Linked DNA regions of Pelodiscus sinensis. Each later gene encodes a partner of the first gene's protein in a complex. Links are inferred from orthologs where the notes say so. Each region holds a gene or a part of one and is shown in the gene's direction. Other genes may lie near its edges. The genes, in order: NCF2, CYBB and RAC2.

Region 1 (7,609 bases):
TCTGCTCTGTCCGCTTGCATCTGCCAGGCAATGGGAAAGGAGAGATTCCTCAGAAAGGCATCATGGCATGGACGTCGAATCTCCCCAGCATGCAGCAAAGTAGTTGCCACGTTTGCTTCAGGATGGATAAGCACCTGTCAGGAACAATCTGGTTATGTACGTCTGCCCTGAGGGCAGGGGACTGGACTAGACAGCCTCTCGCATTCCCTTCCAGTCCTACACTGTCATTCATGTTAAAATTCGACACTCTCCAAAAAGGAATGAACAAACACTCGAACTATCTTACCCATTACCAAGATAGCTTCCCCAATTATCACCTCTAATACCATTAACTCACAAACATCCCACTCTCCCCACCTCTAATATCATCAATTCACAGACACTTACCTTCCTTCCTTCTTCCCCCCCCCCCCCCCCGCATCTCCCTCCTGTTCTGAAATGTGATTTGTCCTTTTCATGTGTGTTCATTTTTTTAAATTGTATCCTTTGGTATATATGGTTGTGACTATTTTCTTCCACTATTTGATCTGAGGAAGTGGGTCTGGCCCACGAAAGCTCATCACCTAATAAACCATCTTGTTAGTCTTTAAAGTGCTACATTGTCCTGCATTTTGCTTCTCCTACACTCCTGTGAGTCTACGATCATCCCTAGCAGATAAAACTCATGGCACACAAAGCGCTTAGCGGAAGGTTTCAGTGTCACTGCTCTGCATCCCTCCCCCCTTACCAGTCTGAAAGGTAAAACTACTCAGCTATTGTGTATTGCACTGTGTACACAGAAAACAGCTGCATTCTAGCCCCAGAAGTGGCTGCATTTCAGGAAGGCCACTGTAGCCTACGCTGTCTCACAGGGGTGCTGTGAAGGCTAGGCTACGTCTACACTGGCATGATTTTCTGAAAATGCTTTTAACCGAAAAGTTTTCCGTTAAAAGCATTTTCGGAAAAGCACGTCTAGATTGGCAGGACGCTTTTCCGCAAAAGCACTTTTTGCGGAAAAGCGTCCGTGCCAATCTAGACGCGGTTTTCCGCAAAAAAGCCCCGATCGCCATTTTCGCGATCGGGGCTTTTTTGCAGAAAACAATACTATGCTGTCTACACTGGCCCTTTTGCGCAAAAGTCTTTCGGAAAAAGACTTTTGCCCGAACGGGAGCAACATAGTATTTCCGGAAAAGCACTGATGATTTTACAGGAGATCGTCAGTGCTTTTGCGGAAATTCAAGCGGCCAGTGTAGACAGCTGGCAAGTTTTTCCGCAAAATCGTGTGATTTTGCGGAAAAACTTGCCAGTCTAGACACAGCCCCAGTGTTTGTAGTGGATTTTAGGAAGCAAGATGTTAGCAAATGGAAGTGCCAGGTTTTCTTGAAGTTTACCACCTCATAGAATGAAACAATTACATCAAATCAATTATGTCAAGCAGGTACCACGAGGAAGACACCCGCTCCAGCACTGAAAGTCGAGATGAATACCTACCTGCTGGGGTTGGTCGTTTGCTTAGTTTTTGTTTTAATAGAGGGAAAATGGATGCACTAGGCCAGGCATGGCCAACCCGCAGCTCGCGAGCTGCATGCAGCTCTTCCCCCCCGAAAGTGCTGCTCACGAAGCCGCCCCTGCACCCCTGAAAATGGCCCCCGGCTCCCTGTGCTCTCTGGAGAAGGAAGCCATCGTTCCCTGTGCTCTCTGGATCAGGGGAGCCGTCCAGCATGGCCATTCAAAATGGCATCTTCAAGATGGCGGTGGCCAGTGGGAGCCTTTAAATGCGTTTCTTAAGGGGGCAGTCCTTTTTTTTTCCCCCCAACAACTTGGGGGGAGGGGTGTGGAGGGACTTCTTTTTTTTTTCTTTTCCTCAACTATTTTGCCCTGGCTCTTCGCGCTGTATCCACTGCTATTTTGGCTCTTTGTCCGGAATGGGTTGGCCACCCCTGCATGTACTGTACCTTTCAGATGCTCTCACCTTTCTGTCAGCTGATGTGGCATAAGAAAAGCTGCTGCTCTCATGGATAAAGCTCTGGTCCTTTGGAACGAAAGGTCTTTGTCTCTCGTATTGATTTTATTTCTATTACCGTGGCAGCCAGCAGCGCCAGCTGAGCGCAGGGCCCCAGGCACTAGCAGAGCTAACCACCTACACAAACTGACGGGAGGGGAAGCTGGCAGACAGAAGTGAGGTGAAGCAACTTGACCAGCGTCACAGGGCCCAATAACAAGCTGCTTTGCATGGCGAGCCAGAAGATGGAAGGAACAGTCAGGAGGAAGTAAGCAGCAGCTTCGCTGCCGCTGAGCATTTAAATGTCTATTTTAAACACATTTTAAATGACTCCTGCACAAAAGGCGACCACGGGCCCCACAGAGAAGAGTTTCCACACTCACACGGAGTTTGTTTTCCCACCCCGTTCCTTCGATGCCTCTTCACCCGTGCAAAGGCGCTTTTCCGGAAGCAGGAGATCATAGTCCCCAAGCTGTGCCTGAGTAGATGCTGATGGTGCTGAGCTTGTTACCTAAGAGCCAGAGAGAGAGAGAGAGAGCTTGAGATGCTCTGTATTGTATTTCTGATTACAAATGAGTCACCGTTTCTCAGGAATACAGATTCCCCCGCCACCCACGCAAAAGCAGAAATCAGACAAAAGAATTTCTGACAGGTTTATCCAGGGCTGCATGAGAGTTACTTAGGATGTAGCCACGGTGCTGGAGTTTTAACAACAGTTGCGTTCCCCGATCTCACACTATTTTAGGAAGGAAGGTGAATATAAATATCCCTATTTTAAACATGGGGAAACTCAGGCAGAAAGGGGCAGTCATTTGCCCAAGAATACAGGGCTCCAGTGCCAAGGAAAGTAAGTGGCAGATCTGGGAACAGAGCACAGGTTGCTGGACACCCAGGTTAATATTCTCTGCACTGGTCTGTGCTGCCTCCTGTCAGGTCAATTTAGTGCTCGGAAAAAGGGTCAAATTCACAGCTTTTGAGGACCAAAATCCTCTGCAGGCTGGTTCTTATCTTGTGATGGAAACTGTAGGCCCAAACAGAGCTGGGCCCTGAGCCAGGAAGAATGCAAGGCACAGAAAAGAGAGGAAACGGTTCTTCTCACAGAGAAAGGAGTTGCCGGAGGTTGAACAAAGCCCTCAAAAGATCCAGCCTGTGCTGCTCGTGACAGATAGGGTGGCCAGGTGCACGGTTTTGAACCGGACAGTCTGGTATTTGAGGGTTCTGTCCAGGAAACAAATTGAGAAAATACCGGACGTATAAACTGTCTGGTATTTTCTAATTCGGTACGTTTGATTATTATTAGGCGTATCAGTGTGTAGTTGAGAACTGCCTGGCTGTAGACACGTTCACGCTGCGTGAGTATGTCTACCAGCCAGGCAGTACGAAACTACACGAGGGGGGCGCGGGGCCAGGACGGGAGGGAATCCCCGGGGCCAGACTTGCTCGTACTTCACCGGGACCATGCGCGGGATGGGCAGCGCCCTGGGATCTGCGTGCAACCGGATCAGTCCCGCTCCCTGCTGGCCAATTCTCTCCCCACACTTCCTCCCCGGCCAGCCCCACTCTCCCCACTCCCCTCCCAGCCAGCCCTGCTGGTCCGCCCCTCCTCTGATCTCCCCTGCTTCCCGCCGGCTGGTTCTCCCCCCAATCCTCCTGCACTCCCCTGGCCAGCTCCACTCTCCCTGACCCCCTCCCGGCCAGCCCTACTTCCTCCCCTCTCCGGTCTCCCCCGGCCAGCCCCACTGCCCCCAACCCCGCCAGCCCTGCTTCCCGCTGGCTGGTTCTCCACCTCCTCCCAGCCAGCCTCACTCCCCTCCTGGCCGGTCCCCCTCCCCAATCTGAGATGAAGTGTGTCCGGTATTTTTTTTGGAAGCCACCTGGTAACCCTAGTGACAGAACAAGTGCACTTGAAGCACAGGCCAAAGGAGCGATGGAGTCATGATACTGTGAAAAACCAGCATTAAAGCAGGACAAGAGCAGGAGTTTTAGCATTTTCATTTCTGGGGAGAAGCTGTTGCAGGCTGAGTTCAGCCAAAGTGACAGGCCTGGTCCCACAATTGCTGCAAACACACCTTGGCATTTCAGCCTTGTTTTAAGTCACCTCAGCCTGCTAGATGGGTTGCACTTCCCCTCCCACACCTGGAGGGCAGTGAAGAGGATGCACCCAGCACCAGAGGGCGGCTAGGTGCTGCCCTGGGGAAGCCGTGGGGACATTTCAGGCTGCCTTTCAAGGGGCCCTGGCATTGATGCTCCGATTCCTCCAGGCTGCATTGTCAGTGCGCTGTGACTCAGCCACGACTTCAGGGTCACACTCACTATGACAAGCACAACCCCCCAAGTCACAACCACCCTCTGACAGATGTGCATGACTTCAGCTGAAGATCCCTGCAAAGCAAAGTCGAAAGCAGTGGGGGCGGCCGTGGCGAGGGGGAGAGTGTGTGTGTGTGTGGGGGGGGGGGGGGTAGTTAGAGTGACACACCAAGAATACGTTTAGGAAATAATTCACCCTGGCCAGCATCTGCTCCACTTCCCCATCACAGCAGGGCTGAGTCAGTAACTACCAGTGGGGACACTTCCTGGTTGGTTTGCGACACTGCGGGCTCCGGGGGAAACACAGAAGTACAAGTAAGAGCGGTGCAGAGGGGCAGGGGCAGGGGCAGGCTGTAGAGAGCAAAGCAGGGCTGCAGCAAGGGGAGGCCCGTCCTGACCCCATTGCTGCACCATGGCTCTGGCGGAGACCATCCGACTGTGGAACGAGGGAGTGTGCGCGGCTGACCGGAAGGACTGGGCAGCCGCGCAGGGTGCTTTCACCACAGTGCAGAACCCCCCTTCCAAACTCTGCTTTAACATTGGCTGCATCCACCTGACCCTGGGGAATTTGACTGAGGCAGAGGAGGTAAGAACCCCCCCTCCCTACCCACACACACACACACACACACACACACACTCCTCCTGTCACAGGCCCCTTCCACAGGCTGGTCTGACTGGTGCACCACAAAGCCCAGACGGCAGCTACCGCGCCCCTGACACGCCGAGGGACTGAGGCGGGTGGCTGGCCCCTGGGACGACTTGCAGACAAGCAGGTGCAGCCCCTGGCTTGTGCTGTCGCCTGACGGGCAGCAGGGCCCTCGGCACGACCCCGAGGGGCTGGCGGCAAACTGGCCAGACCGTGTGCAGCGCGGGCGGGGGGGTGCAGGAGAGGGGGCATTCAGTGCCCATTCAGCTACTGCTGGCCTGAGAGTGCATGGGCCTGGTTAGGAAGAGAGGGAGCCGACAATGCCTCCATTTGCCCAGTTCATGCCTTCCGCTCGGCTCAAATTCAGCTGACACATGGGACCCAGCAAGAGCCGGGCAGAAAATGGTTTTCTTGATTCAGAGCAGGGACTTGCTCCCAGCTGTCCAGGCCCCAGCGAGTGCCTTGGGCACCAGGCTATTGGCTGCCCTAGAGCAATGGGGGGTCGGGGAGAGAAATTCCAACGTGGGCCTAGGCGGCCTTTCCAGTTTCCCACTCAGCTCTAGTCTCCACTTGGGGCATCAGAAACACTGGTCAGGGGAAACCCAGCAGGCATGTAACGGAGGGGCAGGCAGGATGTGTGGGGGGGTTCCCCTTGTCTCCCCTCTCTCCATGTTCCCCTTTCTTCTTCACGCTGCCCTCGTGGCTCCCCTCAGCACTGGGAGGGTCTCCCCTCAGCACGTTCCACTGCTCTGCATGGGCACAGGCTCCACCCTGACCTCCCCGTCAGTGTCCAGGTCTCCTCCTGCCTCTCTCGGCCAGTCTGCCTGTGCCAGGTCTGAACCACCTTCTGCTCTCTGCAGGCGTTTTCCAGGAGCATTCACTGCGACAAGCACTTGGCCGTGGCCTATTTCCAGCGGGGGACCGTGTATTACAGGAGAGAAAAGTGAGTGTTTGGCAATCTCCGGTGGGAGGGGGGGGGGGGGTGTCGTGCTGCTTCTAGACAGAGCCATTTCTGGTTCCCGGCTGGCTGAGAGCAGCCATTTGGCAAGGCCGTCCTGTTGTGCTGCCAAAGCTGAGTAACTAGAGCTAGGACTCACCTCCCAAGAGAAGCAGGTTCTCTTAGAGGCGGAGGCCTAGTGGGTGGCGAGTGGGGATGGGAACCTGGGGAATACCCCAGTGCCTTTAAAGACACCCCCAAAAACAAAGACGATGAGCTGGCTAAAGCCTGCAGGGCAGGGCCTGTCTGGCACATTGTACAGCCGCCTAGCGCAGCGACGATGCTGCTCACCCTGGTTGTGGGTTTGGAAAGAGCCTGGATGGAAGGGAGAGGGGGACAGACTTCCAAGCTGGCAAGCAGGCTGGCAAACCGCCATGGACACAGTCACACCAAAAATATCTGACAGCTGAGTCCCTCGAGGCAGAGAACCACTCCAGCTGGCCCCAGGAGTTGGGTAATGGTAAACGGCCATCAGTACTCCACGGGCTGGCGGGGGTCGTCTCCCAGCAACTCAGGCTAGAGCCGGGCTCTGAGGGCGTGAAAGATGGCAGGCAGCCCAGAGCCGTGCCCTGAGAGTTTGCACCTTTCTTTGCTCTACAGCTACAAACTGGCCATTGAGGACTTCAAAGAGGCACTGGCCCAGCTGCGAGGGAACCAGCTGATAGACTACAAGATCCTGGGGCTGCAGTTCCGGCTGTTTGCTTGTGAGGTGAGGGCGTGCAGGGGCTGAGAGTCCCTGAGACAAGCAAGGGCAGCTGGGAAGCGCAGGAGGGGAGGGAATGGGGTTGGAAGCTAACCCAGCATCACTCAGCCAGTGGGTGCCACACACAAGGGGTCACCAGGGGACACAAAGCACAGTGGTAGTGAAAGCAGCAGAATCCCAGGACTCTAGGTACCCATCCCCCATGGGTGGTTGGCAGGTCAAAAAGGGGTTGAGAGAGCCCCTCGCGATAGCCAGTGAGGGCTGGCTGTGGGCACTCAGATCTGGGGAGAGAAGCGGAAGAGCTCTCTGCGGCCTGGTCTTTTCTCTCTCTCAGTCCGGGACGGGTCCCACCACCACCATGAGCCTCCCCCGAGACATCAGCCTCTGTACCCAGATTAGTAGGGGCCTACCAAAATCATGGCTGGGAAACATTCATCATGGGCCATGAAATCTGATCTCCCTCGTGAAATCTGGCTCTGTAGGGGGGACCCCAGAGCTGGGCAGTTGGAGAGCAGCAGCTGCTGATCAATAGCCACAGCCATCCAATCCACAGGACAGTTCGGGATGACCACCCCAGCCCCAAGCTTTGGCCCACAGTGGTTACCCCAACTGTCCTATGGATGGGATGGTCCCCCACATGGACACTAGCCTGAAGGTGGCCTAGGGCGAGCAACAGGGGTCAAGCCCCCCCCCCCCACTCGCGGAAGTGGGGCGATGCAGCCAACAGCCTGCTCTGCTCCATCTCCATCTTGCAGCCATGTGGGTCACTTCACCACGGCGGCAGGAAGCAGAGCCCCCCGCCTGCTCCCCCAGAAGCCCTGTGTCGCTTGAGGGAGCGGGCAGAGGCTGGGGCGCGCTGCTTCCTGCTCCACAGAAGAGCGGAGCAACCTGGCGGGGAGGTGGTGGTGGAGCAGAGCCGGCTGCTGGTTGCGTTGCTCCGTTTCCTTCGGCCCACACTGCTGTGGTGAGCGCTGG
Region 2 (7,256 bases), on another chromosome or scaffold:
TGGACACAGCCCTAGTGTATTAGGCTTTGATAGCGTGTTTTGTTTATTTTGGCTAAGTAACATACTTTGATCTGTCACTTGCAGTCACTTAAATCCTACTTTTTATACTTAATAAACCCACTTTTTTCTATTATCAAATGCAGGGGGAGGGGAGAACAACCTCTGTATATCTCTCTTTCACTGATAAAGAAGGCAAGCTTATAAGCTTTCTCTGCGTAAAACTCTTCTACAGAATAGGATGGATTTATTTGGGGTTTCAGTCCTTTTTGGGGGGCTGTATTCCTGGGTGCTGCCAACAGTCTTATAGCTGAGCCCTCCCAGGGCTGAGCTAGTTTGGTATCTGTGTAGCTCTGCTAGGGTGAGCCAAACTCTGAACCTTGGGTGGAGGAGATCAGAGATTCTGGCCCAGCAGGACAGGGTATGGAGAGCACCAGAGGGCAGGAAGGCAGGCATCAGTGACTTGATCAGCACAACAGATAACAAACCCATAGGGACCTCTGCGATCCAACCCGTCACAAGGACCTGTATCTAGGGGACATTGTACAAGGGAAAGTTTTCACTGCAAAGATGTGCAAGCTATTGTGCATAGATCTTTCCCTATTCAACTGGCCATTTTAAACCTTTATGCAAACAGAAAATTGTAAAGCATGAAAACACAGGAAATGCTGTTGTTTTGCAATCTCACCCTCTCTTTCAGAGGTGGCAGGTTTGCAGAAATGTTGCTGGTACTCAGAATATCCAGAGCTCACTCCCCTCCCCCATTTAATCTCCTGCTTAAGGCTGTGAGAGGGAGTTTGGGTGGGGAGGGGTTAGGGCTCTGGAAGTGAGTTTGGGTGCCAGGTGCAGGCTGTGGGCCAAAACAGGGAATTAGAGGCAGAAAGGGCTACTGGCTCTGGGAGGGAGTTTGGGTGCAGGAAGGATGAGGGGTGGAGTTCAGTGGGGCTTGGATGCAGGTGGAGATCTGGGATTCAGGTTCTGAGATGGAATCAGGGCACTGGCATGCAGGAAGAATGCAAGGTGCCGGCTCTGGGAGGGAGTTTGAGTGCAGAAGGGGATCTGTGGTGCAGACTTTGGGAGGGAATGTGGATGCTGGCTCTGGCCTGAGGCACTGGGGGCCTGGATGCAGGTTCTGAGAGGGAGTTTTGGAGCAGAACATGAGGGAAGTGGGGAGAAGGCGCAGGTTTTGGAGGGAGTGTAGTGCATAATGGCATGTGGAGGGAGGGAGTGTGGGGTGCCACACCAACCTGAGGCACTACCACCCCCGGCAGTGGCTCCTGGAGGGGGTGGTGGTCTCCAGGAACAGCTGCCTGCCTGCTACCCCTGCTTGCTCCCACCCCAGGTGTCCCCTAGTGTGAGCAGTGCACAGAAACACACACACACCAGCCACAGGGATAAACATACCAGCAGCCGCAGGGAGCTATCAGGAGGAAGCCACCCTACCCCTGCTTCACTGCTGGTGGTGATGGCAGGGGCCCCTGGGATATTTTAAGTTGCCCGGGGTGGCAGGCAGGGCCGGGGTTTGCACGGTGGGAGTGTGGGGGCAACAGGGAGGCTGGGGGATGCAAGAGGCTGAGGGAGCAGGCAGTGAGTTTTGCTGGAATATTTCTAGTGTCAGGGCACCATCGGCCCATCTAACTCACTCCCAGGAACCCTCCCTACAATGCTTCCTTGTCTTGTGTGTCATGCATGGTAAATGCAAGCAGACCACAAAGCTTACACCCACATGATGCAGGGAGTTTCATTAACTATAATAGAACATTATTCTATATTCTATGAACACTTACTGAGTAAGTTCAGTAACTATAATAGAACATGGAAGTACCATGGAAGGAACCAAGGGCTTCTCAGGGTTCAGTTGCCTATTATGAATTAGTCACCCATGGGGAAATCAGGGTCCCATTGAAGTCAATGTAAAACTCTCATTCACTACAATGGGGCCAAGATTTCTCCCATAGAACACATCACCTCTGAGAGTTGCTGACATCCATCTTTCATTTAGACTTACTGAGTGTACTGCTCCAGTCTGTTCCCAAGCAGCTGTCCCAGCTCAGTGGGGGCATTGTACCTCAGGCGGCCAGTTACCGCATATTCTGTGAGGTAATCATGAGTGTGGTAGTTTCGGGTTGTCAGACCCACTGGAGAGAAGCATGTTTCGCTTGCTTATAGAAGAGAATAATATTTTCAGTTGTTAAGTTTCGCTTCCTGTGAGGCATTTGACATTCTTCTTCTCTGGGAGCTTCTATTTACAGAAGAAAATCGTCAAATAATCTAAGTGGCCTTTCCACTTGCCTTCCCTGATGTCTGAGGGTCTCAGCCTTTTTTCAACTGTGCCCTTACTACCACCCTTTTTATTCTGACACTAATTATACAGTAACATACCATGGCAAAGGAGAAATTGCTCTTCCGTCCATATACCTGTGCTAACAGGACATTACAAAACCAGAACGAGATGTCTGAGCTGTCCACTCTGCTCGGAAATGCCATGGATCAGACATTGCCAAGTGCTGCAGTCAGCTCTGGGCCATGGCTGAGCTAAGCTTGGTGATTCTTGGATTCCTGAGAGGCCAGGAATCATTCCTGGTCCATGTAACTTATGCCCTGGCTTCAGTTGAGTCCAGTGGTTTGGCTGGAAGCCCAGAACAGCTGGAACTTAGGGCAGTCTGGCCAGACACCTTCTTTTCTCCCTTAGGGCCATTCTATGGCAATAGCAAATCCCCTTTAAAGTGGAGGCCTGATTTTCTCTGATGGGGAAATTTGACTGGTTCTGGCTGTGCAGAGGAACCGGGGAGCAGCCCAAAATCAGCACCTAACTACTGCAAATGTTTATCTTCAAAACATTCAGCCAGATCCTCAGCTGGTATCAGTTGGTGAATTTCTGTCAAAGCCAATTGACAGAGCCTTGGGAGCTCTCTGTTTGCCTAGGTATGGGAGGTGGATCACATCAGAAATGCTCGTGGTGGGGAACACTGTTGGAAGTGGGAAATTATCACAGGCAGGAGTCCTGATCTTATCTGAGATTCCCTGATCCTTGATCTCTGATTCCCATTACTGCCTATCTACCTTTTTGCTAGTATTTATATCCAGCTTTGGACAGTACAGTAAAACTCCAGTTGTTCAGCATCCAGTGGTCCGACACTCCTGCTAGTCCAGCACCACCTGGACCCAGAAGTGCTCCAGGCAGCCGGACAATTGGAGCTGCTCTGCCCCGGGCTTCCCCGAGTCAACCGCTGGTCAGTTTCAGCCGCGGCTGACTTGGGTATGCCCGGGGCAGAGCAGCTGGGGTGCTGAGTTGGTCCCATAGCACCACCCCTTTATCCCCCCCAGCCCCACCCCAGACTCCTCATAGCCCCCCCTTCCTATAGTCCAGCATATCTGATAATCCGGCATCCTCTGGGTCCTAAAGGTGCCGGATTATCGGAAGTTTACTGTATTTGGGACTCACATCATCGTCCGTGCTAAGTGTTCCAAAAATCATGAGATGGTCTTGAAAAAATATGAGCTTTTCAAAAGGCATTACAGGTGGGGGAAGGAGGGAGGCCTTCACTGTATTTGCTGTCTGGTGCCTGAGTCTATAGGATATATCGAGGCCACATTTCCACACTCTGCAAACATGAAGTCTAGAGTCTCCCCTACCCCCACTTTATTTGTTAGCAAAAACTTAAGATGAGATTCTCTCATAATCACATGCTTTCAGGAGCTGGACGTTTTAAAAAAGCACCCAAGTCTCAGGAGAATTGGCAACACTTTCAGGCTAGCTGAGGGGCATGTCCACACAGCACTGACTGAAGATCCAAGCGCAGAGCAGCCCGTAGGAAAAGACATCCCGTTCCTCTGACATATTTAGGTTCCTAACCTCCATTGAAAACACTAGAAGTTAGGAGCCTAAATCCCAGCCAGGATTTGGGCTAGAGTTGCTAGCCTATCAGGGAAGGGGAGGGTAAATCATCTTTGGAGGCGTTTGTGGGATGCTGAGCTGGAGGAATGTAACATATTATGGGGAGGAGGAGACTGGATCAGCAGGTGTGCGAGGGGCAGGGAGTAATGCTGGGGCGGGGGAATGAACTGAGGAGGAGTATGACCATGTTTAGTTTCTCATTGCACTAAGGGCTTCAATGCTGTAGTTATAAAAAGTCACTCCAAGTTGTTGGATGGAAACGCCCTCCAATGACATTTGCATAACCCAAAGTAACTCATACACAAGAAAAAGAAATTGTTCATTTCCAAGCTCTCCTTATTTATGGCTGGGTTCTTACACTGTTGTGTTTTCAGAGATAGCAAATTCAAACCATTGCATGGGTCAATGGTTAGCTAATTTCTAGATGAATGACAGAGGAAACAGGTTGCAACAAGGCAGCTGCTCTCACTTCCTTCTGTGAGGAGATACAATAGTTGTCTGAAAAGGAGCAAAGTCAGTGCACACTCTTCCCCAGCAACGATGGGCAACTGGGTGGTGAACGAGGGACTCTCCATTTTTGTCATTGTAAGTACAATACCTTTCTCTATTTTAAGTCTCCTTTGATTTGTTATATATGTTAAGTGTTTGGATGGGATAGTGATCATGACATATATGAGAGAGAGAGAGAGAGAGAGAGAGAGAGAGAGAGAGAATAACATTTCTGTAACAACGAGCAGTCCTGTGGCACCTTAGAGACTAACAAATATGTTATATCATGTGCTTTTGTGGGTAAAACCCACTTTGTCTGAGGTGCCACAGGACTGCTCGTTTTTAAAATTGCAGACTAACAGGGCTACCCCTCTAAGATGTATTACATTTCAATGTAAATTCCAAGAATGTAAAAAAGGCAATACCTTACCAGACTATCTAGAAATAAATGCTAATGAAACTGAATTATACAATAAATAATACTCAGTGTAGGCTATTTATATCAGACTGGCAAATTCTGGGATTCTGCATGTGGAGATACTTTGTTTAGACTTGCTGTGCTTGACTCTTGCATGGAAATGCAGCGAAAACAATTTTGTATCATTCTAGCCAGGGGTTTCAATTAGCTCGAAGCAGAATATAAAAGTGGTTGGAAATCCTCTCTTGTGTTGGGAAATTAGGGTCTGGGAAAAAGTGATTAACCTGGAAAAGTCAAGTTTGGTGATGAAAACTTTGATAGGGGGTTAATAATTTGTATTTTGTTTGATTTTATCAATAAAGCCAAATGTTCCAAAAGATTGGTTCAGAGTACATAGTGAATGTATTCATATGTGTGTATACACATACCAGTACACCCAGGATATGAATTCAACCTGATTCCTGTTACAGTATAGGCCTGTATTTTCCTTTCAAACAGTTGATTTCTATCTAAAGATATTTTAAAATCTGGCTTTATATATGGTGTAATTATGAGAAATAGTGATTGTATATCTCCAAAAGAGTTGCTAGAACATCATAAATCTGATTTTTAGATTTGTTTTCCAAATTTCTTAAAATAATGTAATAATACTAATGTTGTGTAATAGGTTTATTAAATGAATAGCTATAAACTAGTCTGGAAAATCATAGTGCAAATACTTTTGAATATGCTTAATTGTATACACCTGAGCAGTCCCACTGAAACCACTACTCAGGAGCCTGTAATTAAGTGTATGTCTACACTGCATTCCTCTTTAGAGAGAGCAATGCAAATGCAGACAAACAAAATTGCAAATGAAGTGCAGATTTGAATTTCCAGCACTTCCTTTGCATAATTGTGTCCTGGCGCTATTTTGAAATACCTTATTTTGAAAAAAGAAACGCTGTCTAGACGCAGTTATTTTGAAGAAAATCCTTCTTTTGAAATTACCTTTACTTGAGGTTTAAGGGTAATTTCAAAAGAAGGGTTTTCTTTCGAAATAACTGCATCTAGACAGCATTTCTTTTTTCAAAATAGGGTATTTTGAAATAGTGCTTGGATGCAATTATGCAAATGGGGCATGGGAAATTCAAATCCACGCTTTATTTGCAACTTCGCTCAGCTGCATTTGCATTCTTCTCTCAAAAGAGGAATTCGGTGTAGACATACTAAGAATGTGAGCAAGTGTTTGCAGGATCTAGGCCTTAATTTACCAGAGGCAAAATAAATGATGCTTTCATATTTAAAAGCTCAGCTGAACATTTTTTTCACATTAAAGAGCCTGTCTTAAGAAAATACTAATGATTAAAAAGATACAGATTTTTAGTTCTGTAATAACAGTACCTAGAGCTAGTCACAGAATTGCTGCCAGATGCTGTTAAAACTAATGTTCTGTATACCAATAGGAAAAAATGTAGACTTTGAAATGTAACATCTGTGGTGGCTGAAATGTGAACTTGTAGGAATGGTTTGTGCCTGTCATTTACTGTTAACTATTGCCTGTAATGACACATTTGAATATGCAGTAAGGACATCCAGATAGCACATACATACATTGATTTGTCAAGCTGTCATGGTCAGTGATTCGAGTGAGCAGAAGCTCACAGTAGCTGAGTTCTGGCATGTTTCCCTCACAAGAGCTGAATACAATCTGAATTAAAACAAAAGTGTATTTTCACTAGAGTAAGAAAAAGAAAGAGTTATTTGAAATAGATTGCAGTTCTAGAAATGCATTGAGGGACGGCTTCTTTAGAGGGTCTGTTTGGAACTGTGCTCAGCACTGTTCATTGTTATGTTACTACATGTTGCTTGGGTGTTGTTCCCCTGGTAGGACTTGAAATGCAGCCTTAGGAGTTCTTCTGCATTTTCCTTCCTACTATGCACTTTGACTCTAATGGAGATCCGGGGCCTGATTCTCTTCTCATGCATTCCGTTTAATACTAGTGGAACTCCATTGAGCAAAAATAGGCCTTTATAGTCTTGGCTGGCCCTAATCTTTATTACAATGCTTGAAAGGGGATGGGGGAAGGCAGGGCCTGTTGCAGAAACCACATCTGAATCATTAGGGTGGGGGCAAGCCACAGAGAAATGAGCGAATGCAGTGAGCTCTGCTGAGCTGTGTGCTCTGGCAGGGATTTCACAGAAACTCGGAATAAGTTTATAACTACCTGTGGAAATTGTGGGAGAGGGTCACCCTACAGTTTAAAGTGACCCCAGCCCTTTGGTGCAGCTTCAACTCTGGCTGCCAACAAGGGGAATCTGACTGAAGATCTGCCATTAGTAACGGTCATCAGCTCACACACACACACATGGCCTCAGGGGCCCCACACATGGCCGCACCTGAGCTAAAGGGGATGCTCAGTGAACGGCTGCAGTACTATGGCTTATTTCCTCCATAGGCCTACAACCTTGGAT
Region 3 (7,154 bases), on another chromosome or scaffold:
TGGAGCCTCACACGCCCAACCCCATTCTCCACCTACCAGACTTAGGGTACGTTTACACAGCAACACTATTCCAAAATAACTTAGCCTATGTCTACACAGAAGGCGGTTATTTCGAAGTAGTGTCAAAATACTGTCAAGCTACAGGACTTCTTACTCCGACTTCTGTAACCCTTATTGTACGAGGAGTAAGGGAAGTAGGAGGAAGAGTGCTCTATGGCGGAATAAGTGATGTGTAGACACTCTCTATTTCGAAATAAGATACACAATTAATGTAGCTCAATTTGCGTAGTTTATTTCGCAGTAAGCCCTGAAATGTAGATGCATCCATTGGGTGTGTCTACTCAACAATGTTATTTCGGAATAACAGCTGTTATTCCAAAATAACTATGTGAGCGTCTACACAGCAATTCCATTATTCCAACTTCTGTAAACCTCATTCTATGAAGAATAACACCTATTTTGAAATAAGGTATGTGAAGATCGGGTATGTCTACACACAATTTTTATTTCAGGAGAAGGATGCAAATAGCTCTGCGTATTTGCAAACTTCCTCCGGGTTTTTTTTCGGAAGATGCTCTTCCGGTATTTACCCATGTCTACATGCGTCCAGATTTCAAAATAAACCCCTATTTTGAAAGACCCCTGTAAAGCTCATTGTAGGAGGAATAAGGGATCTTTTGAAATAGGATTTTATTTAGAAATAGGAGTTTATTTAGAAATTTAGACACATGTAGACGCGGTTAAATACTGGAAGAACGTCTTCCAAAAAAAAGAAAAAACCCTGGAGAAAGTATGCAAATGCGCAATGCTATTTGCACCCTTCTCCCAAAATAAAAATTGTGTGTAGATATACCTGATGCTCCACTTCTGTTATTTCGAAATAGCCCCTCACCAGAGCCACTCTAAGTTATTCCTCCTAGGGCTCTAAATTGAGAGAACACGTCTATATTAGGGAAGCCTGCCTCGGACTAATTTTGAGGCTTCCCTGCAGTGTAGACATGTTATTTTGAAATAAGCTATTTTGTAATAACTATTCTGGAGTAGCTTATTCCAAAATAACTGTGCAGTGTAGACGTAGACATAGTAATTTAGTTGGAGTCGGTCCTGGTTTTGGTAGGGGGCCGGACTTGATGACCTCTTGAGGTCTCTTCCAGCCCTAGGATTCTATGAGACTGGGATGTGGGGAGCTAGGGGCTTCTGCCTTATGGGGAAAGTGGTCTTGGGCCTTCCGCTCTGCAGGAGACACCTGCTGGGGCTTCAGCAGGACTGTGGCTGAAACTGCAAGCCCTGCAGGCCTGTAGCCCCACGCACTGGCTGGCGTGTCCCACAGACACTACTAGCCCTGAGCCCCAGCTGGTGCACCCAGCTCTCACACTTCTGAAGATTTTTGTATGCAGCTAAGAGGTCAGTAAGTTTGGCCAACCCTGTTATATAGCTAGTGAACTGCTATCTCCTTCTCTATTTGGTTTGTTATATTTTCTCTGAATGGCTCATAGCCTGGCCATCCATGGCATGTGCGTGTTTCCCAGATTAAGCTGCTTTCCCCTTTTGTTATATAACCACATCCCTACCAGCCAGCTGAGGGTCCCATGGTTAAGAAGAATGCGGGCTGATTGGGTGGAAGGGAGGCCATCTGCTCAGGAGTGCAAGGCAAATTGGCTGGAAGGAGTCTGTAATGATCTGTGTGTGCTTGCATTTATGCTGTTCTGCCACTAGATGTCTCTGTGGATTGCATAAAGTTCCAGGCAGGGGGTGATCCCTGAAAACCAAGGAGACAAAGCTGGGACTCAAGCTGTGCGGAAGCCTGGTTGTCCTATAGTTGTAACTGACTTGTTTAATAATGTCACCTGTTTAAGATGGACTGATACTCCATATGGTATGAAACCAGCCAAGGAGGCCCTTCAATCCCACAGTGACAGGCAAAATATAAGAACGTAACTGGGACACATAGATCTTCCTTTAGGGAGGGGTTGTCAAACTGTGGGTCAGGATCACATTTTAATGGGGCTGACAAGGCTGGCTTAGACTGGCTGGGCCCCACGGCTGAAGCAGAAGCCCTTAGGCTTTGGCTCCCCATGTGGAGTGGTGAGACTTGGGCAAGCTCAGGCTTTCATCTCTGCTCTGGGGGTTGTGCAGTAATTTTTGTTGTTAGAAGGAGGTTGCAGTGCAATGAAGTTTGAGAGCCCCTAGTGTAGGGGAAAGGAGATGAATAGGACTTTTCAGGCTGGGGCACCTCTTCTTCCTCCATCAAGGGCTGTGCCTGCTGGTCCCCTACTTGTATATCTGAACATATATGGCTACATCTACACAGCTTCCCTCTTCTGCAAAAGCCTATGCAAATGAATCGCAGATTAGCATATTGCTGTGCTTCATTTGCATAATTAATTAGGAGCCGTTTTTGCAGAAGAGGTTTTTGCGCAAGAGCCGTTCTTCCTCATTTTTTCAAGAAGAATGGCTCTTGCACAAGAGGGGGGTTTTGTGCAAAAAGGTGCTGTGTACATGGTGCCTTTTTGTGCAAAAACAGTGCCTAATTAATTATGCAAATGAAGAGGGGCAATATGCTAATCTATGCTTCATTTGCATAAGCTTTTGCAGAAGAGGGAAGCTGTATAGATGTAGCCTGTGTGTTGTTTCTTCACAGCACCAATCTGGGCAGGAGTGGAGAGCGGGGAAAGGTCTTCTAGAGGCAGAAGCCATGCAGAGGGAGAAGCAGAGTAGCAGCAGAGATAATGCTGCTTTCCTGATTCTAAGAAAGTTCCTTGTTCAGCTGTCTCTGAGTTTATTGCTCACACCTGACACCAGGAAGGCTGGGAGGCCCTGCAACAAATCAGTCAGGAGCCCACTCCTCTTCTGCACTCATAGCAGATTGCCCTGCCTAGGGAGTGCTCACTGCACCTGCCTGAAAGAAAGGGGGCTCTGGGGAAGCCGGAATGCAAAGGGGACCCCTCCCTTTGCAAAGATGAGTGAGTGTTGTCCCCTCCTTCTCCTCCTTAATGTAACCCCTGACTGGAAGCAGCACAGCACCCCCTGCTGCTCAAAGGGGGACAGAAGGTGTAGAAAAAATTGCTTAGGTCATCAGGACATGAAACTGGTTTTTAAACTGCAGGTGCATTAGGGCTGCCAGGTGTCTGGTTTGCAGCTGGGATGTATAGTTGAGAAGGGAACCTGGCAGCGTGCCGTCCGCAACTGGCCTCCACCACGGGAGAGGGGATATGGAAAAAGCAGCAGCTGCAGCCGGAGGCACATGGAGGCGCTGCTCTCTGCTCAGTAGCTGATGCCTGATAGAGAGCAGTGGCAGGCTTCCAGATCTGGCTCCAAGAAGTAGAGGAGGATCCGGTCTGCTCACCCCTCCCTCCCCCAACTGTTACTTGCATAAAATGTGGTCAGCCTCACACTCTAGGGACACCCACTCTTCTCTGTTTCTATGGCTCAAGAATTACCTTCCACTATAGGCACCCACCCTCAGCCTTCCATGGGCTCCGGCATAACCTAACACTCTGTGGGTTCGCAGGGTCTTTTATCCATGGAAGAGCCTCACACAGTACTATCCTATTTAACAGTCCTACAGTAAGACAGATCAACTTTTCCTGTTGGCCAAGCAGGATCAGGTCCGAAGCTCCCCCTAAGCAGCGCAGCTGTGCACTTTCTCGTTAAGCCCCACTCATATCCCACTATTTTAATGTAATTTGGGCGGAATGAGGATGCGACTTCCTGCGTCTTAGTTAATGGCTGCTGCTCTTTCCATCTGGCTGCAGATGAGGGCTGTAGGCTTTAGGCCTTACAACATGGCTACAGAAAAAGGCCTTGTTCTTACATTTACACTGCCCTGCTGTGCCCTCATTGCCCTGGCCCCTCACTATGGGGATGATCCCTGCTGAGCCCCAGGCAGGCTGCATTTTAGCTTCTCCCAATCTCACTCTGCGAGCAGCAGGTAAGTCCCAGAAGAGGTGGGACTGGGGTGGGGAGTGGAGAGTGAGTGGTAGAGGGAGGCGGAAGAGCAGTGAGCAGGGGCGGGGTCTCAGGAAGAGGAGGGGCGGGGCTTTAGGGAAAGAGGTGGGGCAAGCAATTAAAAAGTCGGCAGTCTTAACACTAGCACAGGCCCCGCCTTTTTTTAGCTGTAGCCTGAACTACTGGGTGGAGGGGGGACTGACGTGGAGGGTTAAGTAACATTCTATCTATCTTCCACTTCCTCCCTCCTCACAATCTGCTGCTTCCTTCACGCTAGGTTTGACATTACATTTGTACAGGTCTTTCCTCTGGTCACCTGAGAGCATTAAGTCTGCCTGACTTCTCCTGCCCCAGGAGCCATCCTCCTCCGTGAGGCCTGAGAAATGCAGGCCATCAAGTGTGTGGTGGTGGGAGATGGGTATGTACCTTCTTTTGTGGTGGAGGGGGGCAAGAAGGGGGAAGGTTGGTTCTTAGTGAAATGTCACCTTCTTTGCTTTCGATTTCCTCTGAACGGCTTTCCCTTTTTCTGTCAGGTAGGGTGTATGGGGGGAGGGGAGGGGGCAGCCTGTGATGGAGGTTGTGCATTATGTCGGGGTTGGGGAAGGGCACTTTTCAGAGCAGGTGGAAAAGAGCCGCTGAAAGACAACCTATGTGGCTATTCTCCCCTAGATGAAGGTGCCCCCTTTACAGTGTCTCCTCCTCTGCGGCTATTGATGGTGGAAGGGGAGCCAGGTTTAAAATAAGGTGGGGGAGACTAGTTTCCCTTCTACTGGGCCACACCACACATGACTGGGGAGGGCACCGACACATGGTGGCAGTGGTGAATGGAGAGCGCTGTGGGTCCCCTCCTGTGGATCTGAGTTCCCATGCCTTCTCTAAGGGGGGGGGGGGTCCAAGGGGGCACTCCGGGGAATTTCCATGGATACAGCAGCAAGATGTTCCTTTCCCTTTTGCCGCTGAGGGGCACAATGTGCTCCGTCTGCCTGGGCTGTGCGAGGCGATGAAACCCAGGCAGCTGAGCATAGCATAATCACCTGATTTATCCACTGCTTGGGCAGCATGTATGTGGCCTTGCCAAGGCCTTCAAGAGCAGCAGCTTCCTCAGGGCAGTACCCAGAGGGCTGCTGCCCCTGGGCAGGGAAACAAGCATCCAGGGCCCAGGAGAGTGTCTGTGAGACCGGAGTCACGTCTGGCGCTCAGAGTGAAGCCAGTTTCAGGCGGGGAGCTGTTTTGATGATGTTATCTGGGGCAGATGAAGTGACATTGTTAGAGGCCCTGCACCCCACAGTCACTTCCTCCTTCCCACTGGCCACAGGAGGAAGTTTGCAGACAAGTGATTAAATTTTAGAAACCACCTCGGAGGCGGAGGCAGGGGCAGGCAGCAAGGGTGGAGGAAGGGCAGAGAACTACAGTACAAAGAAAACCCCAAACAAATATTGCTATGGGTCAGGAAAGTACCATAAAGATCAGAAACTAAGGATTATGGAGCTGTACCTGAAACAACTCGCACAGGAAACACCCTGGGACTAACCCCACAACTGCCCCCACCTCCTGTCCCTTAACCCTGCTAACCTCCAACACAACAGCAGTATTCTTCCCCAAAGCTCTACCAGCCCAGAGCCCCCTCCAAAACTGCTATCCCCATAAACTCACCATAGCTCAATGGCTGTATCCCCGTAATCAGTCCCCAGCACAATCACCCGTAACTCTCCTTCAGAACTGCTAATTCCATCACTTCCTCCACTACTGGCACTCTGCTAACCTCAGAGCCTCCCCCACACCTCTGCTTTCCCTCCCCTCTGGAGAGCCTCACTGGCCCTATAAACCTCCCATCCCTTTCTGCTGAGAGGCTGGAGCCAGGCATACAGTGATGGAGAGTGTGGGAGAGATTGAGGAAAGGGAGAAGAGAAAGGTAGCAAAAGTAGAAAGGAGGAAATGTACGGGAGAGGCACAAGAGGCACTCCAATTCCTCCTGAGTCTGCACAATGCAGCAATGGGGGCTGTAACCCTGTGACTCATGCCTGCTCTCTCTTGCCCTCCAGGCCACCTTGCAGGGGCAAACACTAGGGCTGGGTAGAAAGTCTTAGAAAGATTTTGTCGATGAAATTGGCATATGCTAAGCAGTGACTCACGTATCCTGTGTGGAGAGAGCAAGCCAGCCTTCCTCCCTTACCTAATAACCAGATCTGATTTCTCATCAGCTTCTTGCAGGACTTCATGGTGCTGCCTCCCACCAGATCAGTATTGTTATCTCCATTTTACTGATGGGGAAACAGAGGCAGGATAAGATTGAATGACTTGCCCTACATCCCTTTAGCTTTCCTTGTTTGTCTTGGCTGTGATTCCTGGTCCTCTCTTTTTTCCTTCATAGTTGGTTCCCTGGCTCTCCACTATATATGGTTGGAAACTTTTCCATGAAACTTTTTTTTTTTTGGACAGAAAATGTCAATGCATTGAGATGGTGTCTCGGGTCCACAATGAAATTTCTGGAGAACATGCCTTGGAGCACTCAGTTTGACTGTGGGGGACACAGGTTTAAATCCCTGCTCTCCTGGCATTTCTTTGTAGTGCCTTTGGCCTGGTCTCTCACACACTAGTTAGTGTCTTCTTCTCGTGATTAGAATGTGTTCCTGTTCTGCCCACCATGGTCCACTGAAAGCTGGGTGGTGGTGGTGCTAGTCACTTCGGAGTGTTTGTCTGCACAGCAAAGAAAAACCTGCTTGCTGTGGGGCTGTTTCATTGCTGTTTAGATAGCTGGAGCCCAGGCTCTGGATTCTGCCACTCTGAAGGATTGTAGAGTCTGGCTCCAGCCTAAGCCCGGAAGCCTACCTAGCAATGAAACAGCCCGACTCAGTGAGCCTGGCATGGGCCAACCACAGGTGTCTAGTTGCTGTGGTGACATACCCTGACATACAGGAAGTCAGAGTAGATGATCTGGTGGCTTTTCTGACCTTAAACCTTATGACTCTGTGAGATGTGCAGAGAAGGAGGGTGAAGAGAACTTTGACTGTCAGGAGCAGCCTCACTGCAGGCAGCCTGGCTCGGAAGTGCCATTTCAGCTGGAAGGAGTGTGTGGTGACTATGAGGCTATGTCTACGCTGCTGGCTTTTGCCGGCAGAGGGTATGCTAATGAAGCGCTCATTAGCAGTGGTTGCACTGTCATTTGCATATTCTCTGCCGATGCTTTTTGCGCAAGAAGTTTTTGT

What was found.
Region 2: NCF2 (region 1) and CYBB share a complex: the UniProt entries of both Homo sapiens proteins name them as parts of the phagocyte NADPH oxidase complex. The link is inferred for Pelodiscus sinensis from reciprocal best matches to the Homo sapiens genes NCF2 and CYBB.
Region 3: NCF2 (region 1) and RAC2 share a complex: the UniProt entries of both Homo sapiens proteins name them as parts of the phagocyte NADPH oxidase complex. The link is inferred for Pelodiscus sinensis from reciprocal best matches to the Homo sapiens genes NCF2 and RAC2.

What each region holds. Positions count from the first base shown.
Region 1 is NC_134719.1:57,237,381-57,244,989, forward strand, and holds the start of NCF2 (neutrophil cytosol factor 2), read left to right. Parts: upstream 1-4,570; 5' UTR 4,571-4,700; coding exon 4,701-4,874; intron 4,875-5,794; coding exon 5,795-5,877; intron 5,878-6,531; coding exon 6,532-6,640; intron 6,641-7,609. UniProt on the Homo sapiens protein: Subunit of the phagocyte NADPH oxidase complex that mediates the transfer of electrons from cytosolic NADPH to O2 to produce the superoxide anion (O2(-)).
Region 2 is NC_134711.1:196,970,277-196,977,532, reverse strand, and holds the start of CYBB (NADPH oxidase 2), read left to right. Parts: upstream 1-4,228; 5' UTR 4,229-4,435; coding exon 4,436-4,480; intron 4,481-7,256. UniProt on the Homo sapiens protein: Catalytic subunit of the phagocyte NADPH oxidase complex that mediates the transfer of electrons from cytosolic NADPH to O2 to produce the superoxide anion (O2(-)).
Region 3 is NC_134711.1:92,838,537-92,845,690, forward strand, and holds the start of RAC2 (ras-related C3 botulinum toxin substrate 2), read left to right. Parts: upstream 1-4,131; 5' UTR 4,132-4,331; coding exon 4,332-4,366; intron 4,367-7,154. UniProt on the Homo sapiens protein: Plasma membrane-associated small GTPase which cycles between an active GTP-bound and inactive GDP-bound state.